Rhinolophus ferrumequinum: one gene and its partners. The protein of the gene in region 3 purifies or fractionates together with the protein of the main gene of each other region. This does not show direct contact. Links are inferred from orthologs where the notes say so. Each region holds a gene or a part of one and is shown on either strand. Other genes may lie near its edges.

Region 1 (3,676 bases), on a different chromosome or scaffold from region 3:
CCCAGGTGAAGCCCCGCCCCTAGGAGGCGGGCCCGCCCGCCGCTGTTCCGCCCCCCACGTGGAAGCCCCTCACCGCCAGCTTCCACGCCAGCAGCCGCTCTAGCTCTTCTCGTGTCACGTGCTTCTCCGCGCGGCCCTCAATGGCCATGGGCAAATCCTCTCGGTACCTGGGAAAAGGCGGTGACGGGGAGTCCGGGCAACGGGGGTCGCCCGCCCTACCGATGCCCCCATCGCCCTACCATCGATCCAGGGCTTCCAGTTGCCCCCGGGGGCCCGCGCGCGCCCGCAGCACCTCCCCGTGGCGCGCCAGGATGGCGGCCCAGCGGCTCGGGTCCTCACAGCCCCACAGCCCGCAGGCGACCGCCATGTTCAAGGGCCGGGTCTCGGAGGGGGCGGGACCGGCCGCGGGGACGGGGCCTCTGATGGGCGTGGCGGGCCGCGCGGCGTGAGTCGGACCGACTTCTGGAAGGACCAGCCCCGAGTGCGAGGGGCGGAGCCACCTGGGCAGCTCTCGGCTCTTCTCCAGACTTCCGACGTCGTGGGTCGCGTCTCCCCGAGCGCACACTTCCGCTGGCCCCCCCCACAGAGCGTCGGGCGCACGCGAAGTCCCTCCCACTCGCGCGTGTCCGGCCGCCCCGCTCGCTCCGCCCCGCCCCGCGCGGCCGGAAGTTCCGGTGGCGGATCGCTGGACCGGGCCCGAGCGGATCGCGGTCTCGGGCTGCGGGCTCGGGCTGCGGGCACAGGGCGGGCCGGGCGCGGAGCCTGGGAGCGGAGCCCAGGCCGTGCCGCGCGGCGCCATGAAAGGCAAGGAGGAGAAGGAGGGTGGCGCGCGACTGGGCGCCGCCAGTGGAAGCCCCGAGAAGAGCCCTAGCGCGCAGGAGCTCAAGGAGCAAGGCAACCGGCTCTTCGTGGGCCGCAAGTATCCGGAGGCGGCGGCCTGCTATGGCCGCGCGATCGTGAGTGTGCCCGCGTCGGGGGTGGGGCCGGCGCCCCGGCCAGGGGAGGGGGCGGGGCCTGCCGGGCCTGCCTGGCCGCCGCCGCCAGACCTACCGAGTGTCTGGGCCCGGACGGGGGTGGCGTTTGGGGTCTGAGGACTCAATGGTGATCTCGTTCCAAAGGGGCCGAAGCCGCGGCTCTCGAGCCCCCCGCCGGAGAACTATGGCGGGTGAAAGCTTCAGGGTGCTTGAGGCCCTCAGAGCCCGGGAGGCCAGGGATTTCCACAGGTCTGGGAAAGTTACCCTTACAGAACCTACTGGAGTCAAGAGGGTGGGCTCGGGCAGGCCTCAGGACCAGACGCCACCTTCCAGCCATCCTCAGGATCCAGGAGCTTTGAAGCTGAGAAACCTAGATACTAGCAGCTTTCCAGCCGTGAACCCCACGCCAGGACAGGCCTTAGGACTGCGGGGGCAGGCTGAGGTCACGCCCTCATGCTGACTGGCCGGTCCTGGTCCCCAGACCCGGAATCCCCTGGTGGCGGTGTATTACACAAACCGGGCACTGTGCTACCTGAAGATGCAGCAGCATGAGCAGGCCCTGGCCGACTGCCGGCGTGCCTTGGAGCTGGACGGGCAGTCTGTGAAGGCACACTTTTTCCTGGGGCAATGCCAGCTGGAGATGGAGAGCTATGACGAGGCCATCGCCAACCTGCAGCGAGGTGGGCCTCCGGGCTGGCAGGGTGTGGGGGTGCCCGGGGCCAGGCGGGTGGACTGGCCAGCGGATGAGCTGAACTCTATTCCCTCAGCCTACAATCTGGCGAAGGAGCAGCGGCTCAACTTCGGAGATGACATTCCCAGCGCTCTGCGCATCGCCAAGAAGAAGCGCTGGAACAGCATCGAGGAGCGACGCATCCACCAGGAAAACGAGCTGCACTCCTACCTCACGCGCCTCATTGTGGCTGAGCGGGAGAGGTGGGCTGTGCTGGCAGGCTCCAGGACCCCCCACAAGTCACCATTCTTGAGTCACGAACACAAGTATTTATTGAGGGCCAGCACTGGTGAACAGGAGACAGACGGGGGGATGAGGCCTGAACAAGCCCAAGGTTGGGGTGGAAGGTGACCTTCCCTAGCCAGACCTCTCTGACCCGCTCCCGGTCAACCCTCAGGGAGTTGGAAGAGTGTCAGCGGAACCATGAGGGTGATGAGGACGACGGCCACGTCCGGGCCCAGCAGGCCTGCATCGAGGCCAAGCACGTGAGGGTGCCCCGGCCCCCACGTGGGTCTGTGTGTGTTTGTGTGCATGTGACGGGGGGTGGCCCTGGCTCCCGTGGGGTCTGAGTGTGCCCTCACGTGGGTCTGTGTGTGTTTGTGCGCATGTGACGGGGGGGTGGCCCTGGCTCCCGTGGGGTCTGAGTGTGCCTGTCTGGGGAAAGCAGATGTGGTGTCTGGCCCACGCGTGGCTGCTTGGCTCTTTGCAGGACAAGTACTTAGCAGACATGGATGAGCTCTTTTCTCAAGTGGATGAGAAGAGAAAGGTGAGTGGTGTGTTCTCTGGGGCCTGTGGGCGGCAGGAATTGGAGCAGCGTCCGCTTCCTGGTCCCTAACTTGCTCCTGTGTGAGGCAGAAGCGGGATATCCCTGACTATCTGTGTGGCAAGATCAGCTTTGAGCTGATGCGGGAGCCGTGCATCACGCCCAGTGGCATCACCTATGACCGAAAGGACATCGAGGAGCATTTGCAGGTGAGGGACTCACAGGCGCTGGGGGCAGGGCCTGGGCCCACTGAGCACCGTCTGACCCTGTTGTCACTGCAGCGCGTGGGCCACTTTGACCCTGTGACCCGGAGCCCCCTGACCCAGGAACAACTCATTCCCAACTTGGCCATGAAAGAAGTCATCGACGCGTTCATCTCCGAGAATGGCTGGGTGGAGGACTACTGAGGCAGGGCCACTGGCCCCACCTTACCTGACACCCTGGCCCAGGAGGGCCTTGGGGCGATAGCCCCCAACCCCTGTACATAGTTTGTGCCCCTGGATCCCTGCTCTGGTGTCCCCACCCCATCCTCCATCAGGTCTGCTGGTTGGCCATGAGCCTCCCCGTCCCCCTTCTGGGCCAGAAACAGCAGGCTAGGGTGGCTTGGGCTGAGGTTGCTGCTGCCACCACTGTCCCTGTAATAAAACCTGTGAGCAGTCATAGGGCTGTGTGCCGGTGTGCGATGGGACTTGCCAGCTGCCTGCTCTGGCTAGCTGAGGAAGGTGGAGATGAAGACACTGGTGTCGAGGTTGAGTGTGGCGTGCCACCATCGGTCAGGGAAATATAGCACCTGGATGGGGTAGGGCACAGGGATGAATTGGGGGCCCTCAGCCCAACCCCGCCCCCTCCTACCAGTGACTGACCTCACCAGCCTGGATAGTACATTCCAGGGGCCGTGCCGATGGCGTCAGGGTTGGGTACGTGTCCCGGAGCCAGGACAGTGTGGTCTTGTTGGGATGGAACTTGGGTGTCTTCTCAGGGGGATACAGGAACCAGCGCTGGGGGTGGAAGCAGCAAGGTCACTCTTTGTGCTGTGGTCAGTGAGCCCCAAGTCTCAGCCACCACCTTGTGCTGACCTTGCGGCCGTAGATCACCTCTGAGAACCCAGGCCCGTGCCAGTGGAAGGGCACCCCGGAGCCAGCTCCTGTGGGGGCAGTTATGAGTAGCTGAGTATCAAAACCAATTTGCACGCCCCATCCCACCCCTCCA
Region 2 (3,743 bases), about 19 Mb from region 3:
AAGAGGAACAATAATTAATATCAAGGCACTGGCTTTTCTTTTCCAGCGGAGAAAGAATAATAGGCAGCTCTTAGTATTATGCACCCCGATAGTAGAAAAATCCACTTGTGACTCCCAAGCCAGCCATTCCTAGTACAGTCCAGGAAAGTGGAAGTTGTCGTCTCACCTGGCAGAAGATCTTCAATAAGGATGGGCTAAAGGACAGCTCTTTTTGATGCACCCCAGCGCTCTGGGAGAATGGAGCACACAGGCCAGAAACCTTCTGTAGGTCCGTTCTGATACGTACTTCTCCAAAGCACAATGCCACATAGCGTCTGCCCAGAAGAGAAACTTCACTGCCTTCAGGTCCATCCCTTCCATAGCAGTCTCTTTCCCTCCCTCACATTCGCCCCTCCCGGCCTCCTTAGAAATGTAGTTCACATCAGGGAGGACAGTTATCAGTATCTATCTCACAAGATAATAACTTCCAGGCTGACCAGGAGATATCAAGCCAAGAACCCACAGCCCTTCTCGGATTGTAAGGTCTCTACAGGAGAATGTCATTCTGCAAATCCCAATCACAAAATGTTCCCCAAGGGAATAGTGAGGATCTAAGGTAGGTACTCACGGCAGATCATAACTAAGGAGTTTGCTGGAAATCCACAGGCTATCAATTTCCTACAACAGGATGGGAGAAAGCTTTGTACATTAGCTGCGATGTAAGCCATGAGCAGCTTGACAAGTCAGGAAAGGTTCTAAGAAGAGGAGGATGGGTTATAGCCCTTCCCCTAAATACTCTCCCTTCCATTTCCACCAGCTTCTCTCCTCAGCACTATATCCTGCTCCTCAAATGATGTTAGTATTTCTTATGGATAGGTTGCCCCATTTCCCCTCTTAAATTAGAACAGTGAGCTCTTTTATTTCCTGTTATCTTAGTTCTGTGCTTTACTTCTGTATCTTATCAGGACACTGTGCCTGATAAGCATGTTTAACTTAACACCAATCCCAGCGTTCCCAAGCTAACTCTAAGATCATCTTGGCAGAGAGGTGGCAAGACACGGTTAACTAGGAAAGTCACACGGAATTTTTTAAAAAGGAAAATTAAGGGTTGACATTCGGCTGGATCAACCCCACACACACATAGCCAAGGATTTTCCCAGGACTCACCACTGTTTGCTGGTGCTGCTGAAACTTAAGACTGACATTCTGGATCCAAAAAAAGGAGCCAATCTTGAGCTCCGCTTGCAGCTTCTGCTGACACCACTTGGTGGCAAACCTGACAACAAGCCACCTGCAGAAAAATCCCTGTGAGTTCACAGGACCCTCTCCCAATTATGGTGTCCCTCACCCCTGGCTGGTTCTAGAAGCCCTTGCAAAGGATCAAGTCCTGAAGTTGGATCGTCTGGGCAACTCTCCTGTCTCCAAACACACCAGTCTGTTAGATACATTGGGCCACAACTCATCAGAATCCTACCCCCAGAGTATCCCCTCTACCCAGGTGAAATCAGACAAACTAAACTCCACCTTCTAAACTGGGGACAAAGAAAGCAACTCCTCAAATCTTGAGGAAGCCCACAGGTAGAGAGAGGAGGACCCACTAGGAGTCGAAGTGCAGGCAGTCGTGTCAGATGTGCCATCACACACTCCCCAAAGGATCTCTGTCTTCGCCCTCCAGACATGTGTCCGAAAGAAGGCACTGTGGGGTCATACCGGGCCAGCTCCAATGCCGCTCTCCCTTGGGCAGCCAGACCTGTTCCGGCTTCCCAGGGCGAGGCTGCAGGTGCCCTCTGCGCTCGGTGAAGAGGACACTCGGGCGTGTAAAGGGGACAGGGAGACCACCGAGCCAGGCTGCTTCCTCACACACACATCTATTCAGCTCCAGCCTCAGCATCTCCTCAGGCCTCGGCTGCTCCCTCAGTCTCTCCCAATCCCAGCTCCTCCGCGCCTGCTCCGGCCTGCGCCCCCGCTCGACCCCTCTCCCGCCGCCTCCCGCGCACGGTCCCTTCCAGCCCTCTCCCCCTTCGTCTCCCCGTCCCGGACGCCTCTTCCCAGCGCGCGCCCGGTCCTCAGTCTCTCTTCCTCCCACTCCCCGCCCTAACCCCGCCGTAGCCGGGATCCCCTCACCGGCCTAGGAAGAGGGCGCACAGCACAACCAACAGCAGGGCCAACAGCGCGGCTAAGAACAGGGTCATTACGGCCCCGGCCAGGCCCGGCCTGGCTCCGGCCCCCGCCCTACCGGGCCCCCTCCCTCCGGCTCCGTGCTGCGCCGCCGCGGGCCGACCAGCCGCGCGCGCAGGGATAGCACGGGACCAGGAAGCGTTGGCGCGCGTGCGCCCCGCCCCCCGCAGCCCGCCAGCCAACAGCTGTCTCCTAGCCCAGCCCCGCCCGGCGCGCGCAATCAAGCAGGGCCGACTGGCTGCAAGTGCGAAGTACAGGCGTGGCTCCGGGAGGAGAGCGCGGGGGAGCGGACCTCGCACAGGCTGACACGCCAGCTCCGCTCCGGGGCGCACCCTTCCGCGCCGGGAAATGTGGAGCCGCGGGCTTGCGTGGGGGCTGGGGTCTAACCTGCTCCCTAGCTGGCGGTGGAGCTGGCTGGCTCATGTTGGCCGCGGAGAGTTCCACTAGCAAAGCACGCTCCAGGGAAAGTTAGTCGGTTTGGCCACTTAAGGCCTGGACCGAGGACACTGCTGAAGATCACACTCCTAGGTCTAAGTAGCTCTCCTGTCTTATTAAGGGACCTTGTCTGAAAATCATGGAGGAGGAAACCAAGAGGTAATTAATTATACGCACTCAAAAATCCCACTTCATTACATCCACTAAGGAATGAGTTAATTCATTAACTGAATACTGTTGCAGTCAGCTGATTTGTATTGAACTACTGTGTGGGCAGCACATTCTGGACCCTTCATTGGAGAAATTTTCAGTGTGTACTGTGCATAGTGCAAACTAGGCACTGGGCGGGAGGGACACCACAGCAGTAGACCATATTGTTCTTGCCCTTCAACAACAGTTTACCTGGGAAGCAAACATAATTACACCAAATAGAGAATTGGGCCAACTTAATTTTGCGTTTCTTTCTCTGAGGGAATTAGACAAAGGTCCCTTCCAATTCTAGCTCTGTGAGGCTAATACAAGCTAAAAAAAAATTGAGGAATTCAAAATAAATAGTTCACATACCTTTGCTCTCAGTTCCTAATCTCCATAAACATCTGATTTTACCCAGAGACTCTTCCACTCCTTCAGATCAAGCACCATTTCAGATTTCACCTAGGTTGCCCAAAGTTTTTACCCCTCCAACTGTTTTTTTTCCTTCTCTAGTCTTCTCATCAGTCATTTCACATCTTCCCCAGGGCTCCACCATCTTTCTAGTTCGTATCTCTCAAGCACTGTATTTCCTTTATCCTCCTTATAATCTGCAACTTCCCATCAGGGTATGTTCTGTCTGTGAACCTTCAGGGAAGGCCCAACAAACTCTGTCCGAGCCAAGGAGGGGAACCTGGCAACACATCTCCCTATTCTCATTCATCGTGGCCAATCTGTTCCCTTTATTGCACTGATTTCTAACACTTCCTTTCTTCTTTCTTCCCAGACTGTTACCACCCTACTCCCAACTACCTTGATAAGACTGAAATGTTTTTATCATTTGTCTACTTTCTGGAGAGATTTCAAGGAATCAATGCAACGGAAGTGGAGTAAGGGCAGAGGGCGGAGATGGAGCTCAACTAGTTCATGGTCTCAACTTACTGAACCAAGTCCTTGTAAAA
Region 3 (3,743 bases):
CCCCTACCCGATGGTGGGTGTGGTTTCAGCTCCTTTGGCACTCTGATAGGCAGAGACCACGCAAGCACATACTGTTTTACTGGGGACAACAGCATATACTGTTTTACTGGAGGAAGAAGGTAGATCCTTTTTAAATTCCCTTGCTCCCATCTTATTTTAGTTTCCCATAGTTTTAAATTTTAAACCTCAAACTCTCTCAATTTAACCTCAGGAAACCTCAATTTAATTCAAGCCCACAAAAATTATTGGTTTGGGTGAGGTTAAGTACTACAAAGACGATTAGGCTGTGTCCCTGCCTTCTATGAGTTCCCAATCCAGACTGCATTCGGAAAGACAAGCGTGGTGAGCAGGGAGTGTATATGAGGGGTGGGAATACTGAGGGCACTGGGGCAGGGACCTCACCCCGCGAGCTGCCTTATAAACTCGAGGGCAGGGTCTGGGGCTCTGTGCCACTGGGGCTTAATGCTGAGATGGCACTCCCAGGCGGCTGACATGAAAGGAACCTCATAAAAGGGTCAGCGTCATTAGGGTGATGAACCAGGTGGTGCCTGGAGATCCAGAGAGGATGAAAGGCGTGGGGTGAAGACGCCCTGCGTTCCCCTAGCTTGGCTGGGCAGGGCTTCCAGGGGCCGATGAAAGCTAGGGGAACCGGGCTCAAAGTGTCTCTTCTTGCTTTTCCCAGGAGGAAGCTGTGGACACACTCCAAGATCGGGAAGGTAGTAGTGTGGGGAGCGCTCTTTCCCTCCAGAGTCTTGGGTCACTGGGTCCCCACCCAACTCAGACTCCCTCGAGACGCTACAGGATTGGAAGTTGCTATGGCAACGAGGTTTTCGGCATACTGAGAAAAGTCAAGGCTAGAGAGGCGACCCCTCCTGTAACCCCCTTTCGACCCACGGGTAAAGTGGCGCCCCCCACGTACAAGAACTGTCCCTGGGCCCCCGCCCCGGCGCGGAGATCAACGTGGACCTCCGGGGGCGGGAGGCCGCTCTGGCCCGAAGCGGAGCCTCTCGTTGGTAGACGGGCCCGAGGGAGCCCCTCTGGGCGCAGCGTCTCCGAGCTGCTCTATGCTCCGACCGGAAGTGCTCTTCACCGCCGGCCTCCCACCCGGCTCTCTGGTCTCGGCGGTAAGATGGCGGCTGCCGCGGAGTGCGATGTGGTAATGGCGGCGACCGAGCCGGAGGTGCCCGACAACGCAGAAGCGAAGAGGTAACGGGGTGGCAGTGTAGTGGAAGGGGGGAGCTTCAGCTCCGTGGCTCCGGGCAACCGGTCCCTGCCAGGATGCAGCCCCTAGCTGTTGAGGAGATGCCCCGCCCTCCGCAGACCCCCCCCCCAATCTGAGATCTAGTCCGGATGGACCCCCTGAAGGGGCGCTCTCGGAGGTCGGTCCTCCTCTCCCGCTTCCGCCTGGCCGGGTTGCTGAAGCACGGACGGCCTCGTTCTCCTGCAGAGAGGAAGGTCCTTATGGTGGAGACCTGGTCCCTGAGGGTATCTGAGGTCTGTTGCGGGGTGGGGGAGGCGGCGCGGCGACAATGTCAACTTCCTTACATTGCCTCTTACCCCCCCGCCTTCTCTTATTAACTTCTGTGCATTGTTGTCTATCAGCATTTAGCATCTCCACAGCTTGTGCTCTCTTTACTCGTTTTCGTCCGTAATTGTATCTCAGGGAGCACTAGCCGGGGTCTGAGGTGATTGTGTGTCTCCATTGTTGACCTGGTCGCCACCCCCTCCCTGTTAACCCAGAAGTCGAAGATGATAGAGAAAGAGGAGTGAGGGGCTTGTTTCACGCTGTACACGTCAAACTCCTCTTCCTCCATCCCTCCGTGTACCCTTCCGAGTTACATCCGCATTCTTCCCTGGACTGGGCTTTCTTATTTTAAGCAGCAAGGAGGGCAGCACCTTGGGCGCTATTGGCACTACCGGGCAGCCGCAGGGGCTCGAGATTGCCAGTCCCGACTAGCCAAGGCAGCTGCTGAGTGAGTGTTTTTCGAGAACACTCTGGATTCTGGCTACAGCTAAAGCAGGTTGTGGGAAATGGGGTTGGAACACAGTTGTGGGTAGTCATACTTGTCCTAATCCTGAAGCAACATTAAGGAAAAGGTTCTGGAAGTTTGGAGCCCTTATCAGCACAGATTGTCTACAATCCCCTCAGTCTCCTTCCTACAGATTTCATGTCTTTGTACCAAGGCCATTTCATTATGTTTTCAATCTGGGTGATTTGAAGTTTTGATGCATGAGATCTGAAATCAGGATTCTGAGATTTTTTTTTTTTTTGCTATCCAAGTTAGAAACATAAGTTAGACACGTAAGAGGTATTCAGTGAGGCAGAATGAATAGTTACCAAGCTTAAGGATAGTTACTGCAGCCAGGGTTCCAAATTCCTGACCTGTTGGGAGCTGAGAGGCTTGACAAAGTATAGGTCCGTGGGATATCAGAGAAGTCAGGGTACCAGAGTCTAGTCTTTCTTATTAGTTTTGAGTCTTCACATCTGTCCTCCTTCTTTCCAGGTATTTAGAATTCAGCAGCATCAGCTTCATTAAGGAACTGCAAAATGGGAAATAAAACTGCCCCCAACACAGAGCCTAAATTAATTGTAAGGATTTATTTCATATGGAAACAGTTTGGGGTTCTTTGTGCTATTATTAGGGTCTTGGGCTGTTACATAATTGAAAAAAACTCATTTACTCAGTGTAAAGCTGTGATGTAGGGATTGTCCCTAATTTGGATTCCTGTTCAAAGTCCCCTATCTAAAGCAAATCCTTTTCCTTAAAAAATAAAATTATGGCCTCACAGGATATTCTATCATAAAGTAGTATATGAACCTGAGCATAGAACTGGTAATGCGACAATGTGACCACATTACACAAAAGCATATGATATTTGGTAGCAGTACAACCAAATAAGAGAGAATGTTGACTTACATTAACTGCCTTATTTCATGAAACTTAAAATGTCATTAATTGTAAAATGCACAATTGTTTTTTCTACCACTAAGAAAAAAGAACTGTAATTTAAAAATAACTATAAAAAATGCATTCTTACCAAATAGACTTATATGTTATACATATTTATATAGATCTCTTTTAGGCATAATAAGACATAGGTGTTTATCATATACCACTTAGGTGAACAAATCAAAAGGAAAATATAGCGAAGTTAAAAAAAAAATCACGGTTTGACTTTCTGCCATCCTTCAGAAGGTAAATGTTGGGATCTTTAGTAAGAAAAAGCCTTGTTATGTATGGTTTTCCAATGCTGAAAATGGAATGGGAATTTAGAAGTTTTGGGGGAAGGTTGTTTATATTTCTCACGTATCTTGGAATCCTATGTAGCCATAGCAGAGGGCAGAGATGGGGACATCCCTTACAAGTGCCCTTCACTATCTGGTTTGGTTTGTCATTTGACCAAGTCATGTCTCTCATTACAGCCCTACTACCAGTTCACTCGGGGACACTGAGAGTTGATGGGCCTCTTGGGTTTTTGTGAAGCTCAGCAGGGATTCCTTCCTTCCTTGCTTGTAGACTCAGGGACATCCTGCTGTGCTACTAAATTGTTACAGTTCCGCAGGGGGCAAAATGAGAGGAGCTTTCAAGACACTAGACCTCATGATGACAGCATTTTAAATGGCTACATGTTTTATTTCCTTAGCTTTAGTATCTCTAGAGAGAAAAGAAATGGACTTCATTTTTTTGCCTGTCACTCTGGCAAAGTTCTTTTTCTCCCATAGCAGCTGAGAGGCTAAAATA

The links.
Region 1: the proteins of DNAJC7 (region 3) and STUB1 purify together in Homo sapiens (affinity purification with mass spectrometry; 3 studies listed by BioGRID and IntAct, with this or other methods). This does not show direct contact. The link is inferred for Rhinolophus ferrumequinum from reciprocal best matches to the Homo sapiens genes DNAJC7 and STUB1.
Region 2: the proteins of DNAJC7 (region 3) and BLTP2 purify together in Homo sapiens (co-immunoprecipitation; 3 studies listed by BioGRID and IntAct, counting the BioPlex papers as one, with this or other methods). This does not show direct contact. The link is inferred for Rhinolophus ferrumequinum from reciprocal best matches to the Homo sapiens genes DNAJC7 and BLTP2.

The regions. Positions count from the first base shown.
Region 1 is NW_022680357.1:2,625,606-2,629,281, forward strand, and holds STUB1 (E3 ubiquitin-protein ligase CHIP), read left to right. Parts: upstream 1-797; coding exon 798-956; intron 957-1,455; coding exon 1,456-1,654; intron 1,655-1,741; coding exon 1,742-1,970; intron 1,971-2,101; coding exon 2,102-2,189; exon of another isoform or gene 2,190-2,247; intron 2,248-2,322; exon of another isoform or gene 2,323-2,413; coding exon 2,414-2,470; exon of another isoform or gene 2,471-2,559; coding exon 2,560-2,676; intron 2,677-2,748; coding exon 2,749-2,874; 3' UTR 2,875-3,127; downstream 3,128-3,676. Other genes in the region: uncharacterized protein LOC117019799, read right to left, coding at 74-167, 240-799; JMJD8 (jmjC domain-containing protein 8), read right to left, coding at 3,177-3,257, 3,331-3,465, 3,544-3,611. UniProt on the Homo sapiens protein: E3 ubiquitin-protein ligase which targets misfolded chaperone substrates towards proteasomal degradation.
Region 2 is NC_046304.1:18,800,623-18,804,365, reverse strand, and holds the start of BLTP2 (bridge-like lipid transfer protein family member 2), read right to left. Parts: upstream 2,270-3,743; 5' UTR 2,172-2,269; coding exon 2,104-2,171; intron 1,271-2,103; coding exon 1,147-1,270; intron 658-1,146; coding exon 608-657; intron 315-607; coding exon 167-314; intron 1-166. UniProt on the Homo sapiens protein: Tube-forming lipid transport protein which binds to phosphatidylinositols and affects phosphatidylinositol-4,5-bisphosphate (PtdIns-4,5-P2) distribution.
Region 3 is NC_046304.1:37,894,464-37,898,206, reverse strand, and holds the start of DNAJC7 (dnaJ homolog subfamily C member 7), read left to right. Parts: upstream 1-1,056; 5' UTR 1,057-1,129; coding exon 1,130-1,206; intron 1,207-1,475; exon of another isoform or gene 1,476-1,494; intron 1,495-3,743. UniProt on the Homo sapiens protein: Acts as a co-chaperone regulating the molecular chaperones HSP70 and HSP90 in folding of steroid receptors, such as the glucocorticoid receptor and the progesterone receptor.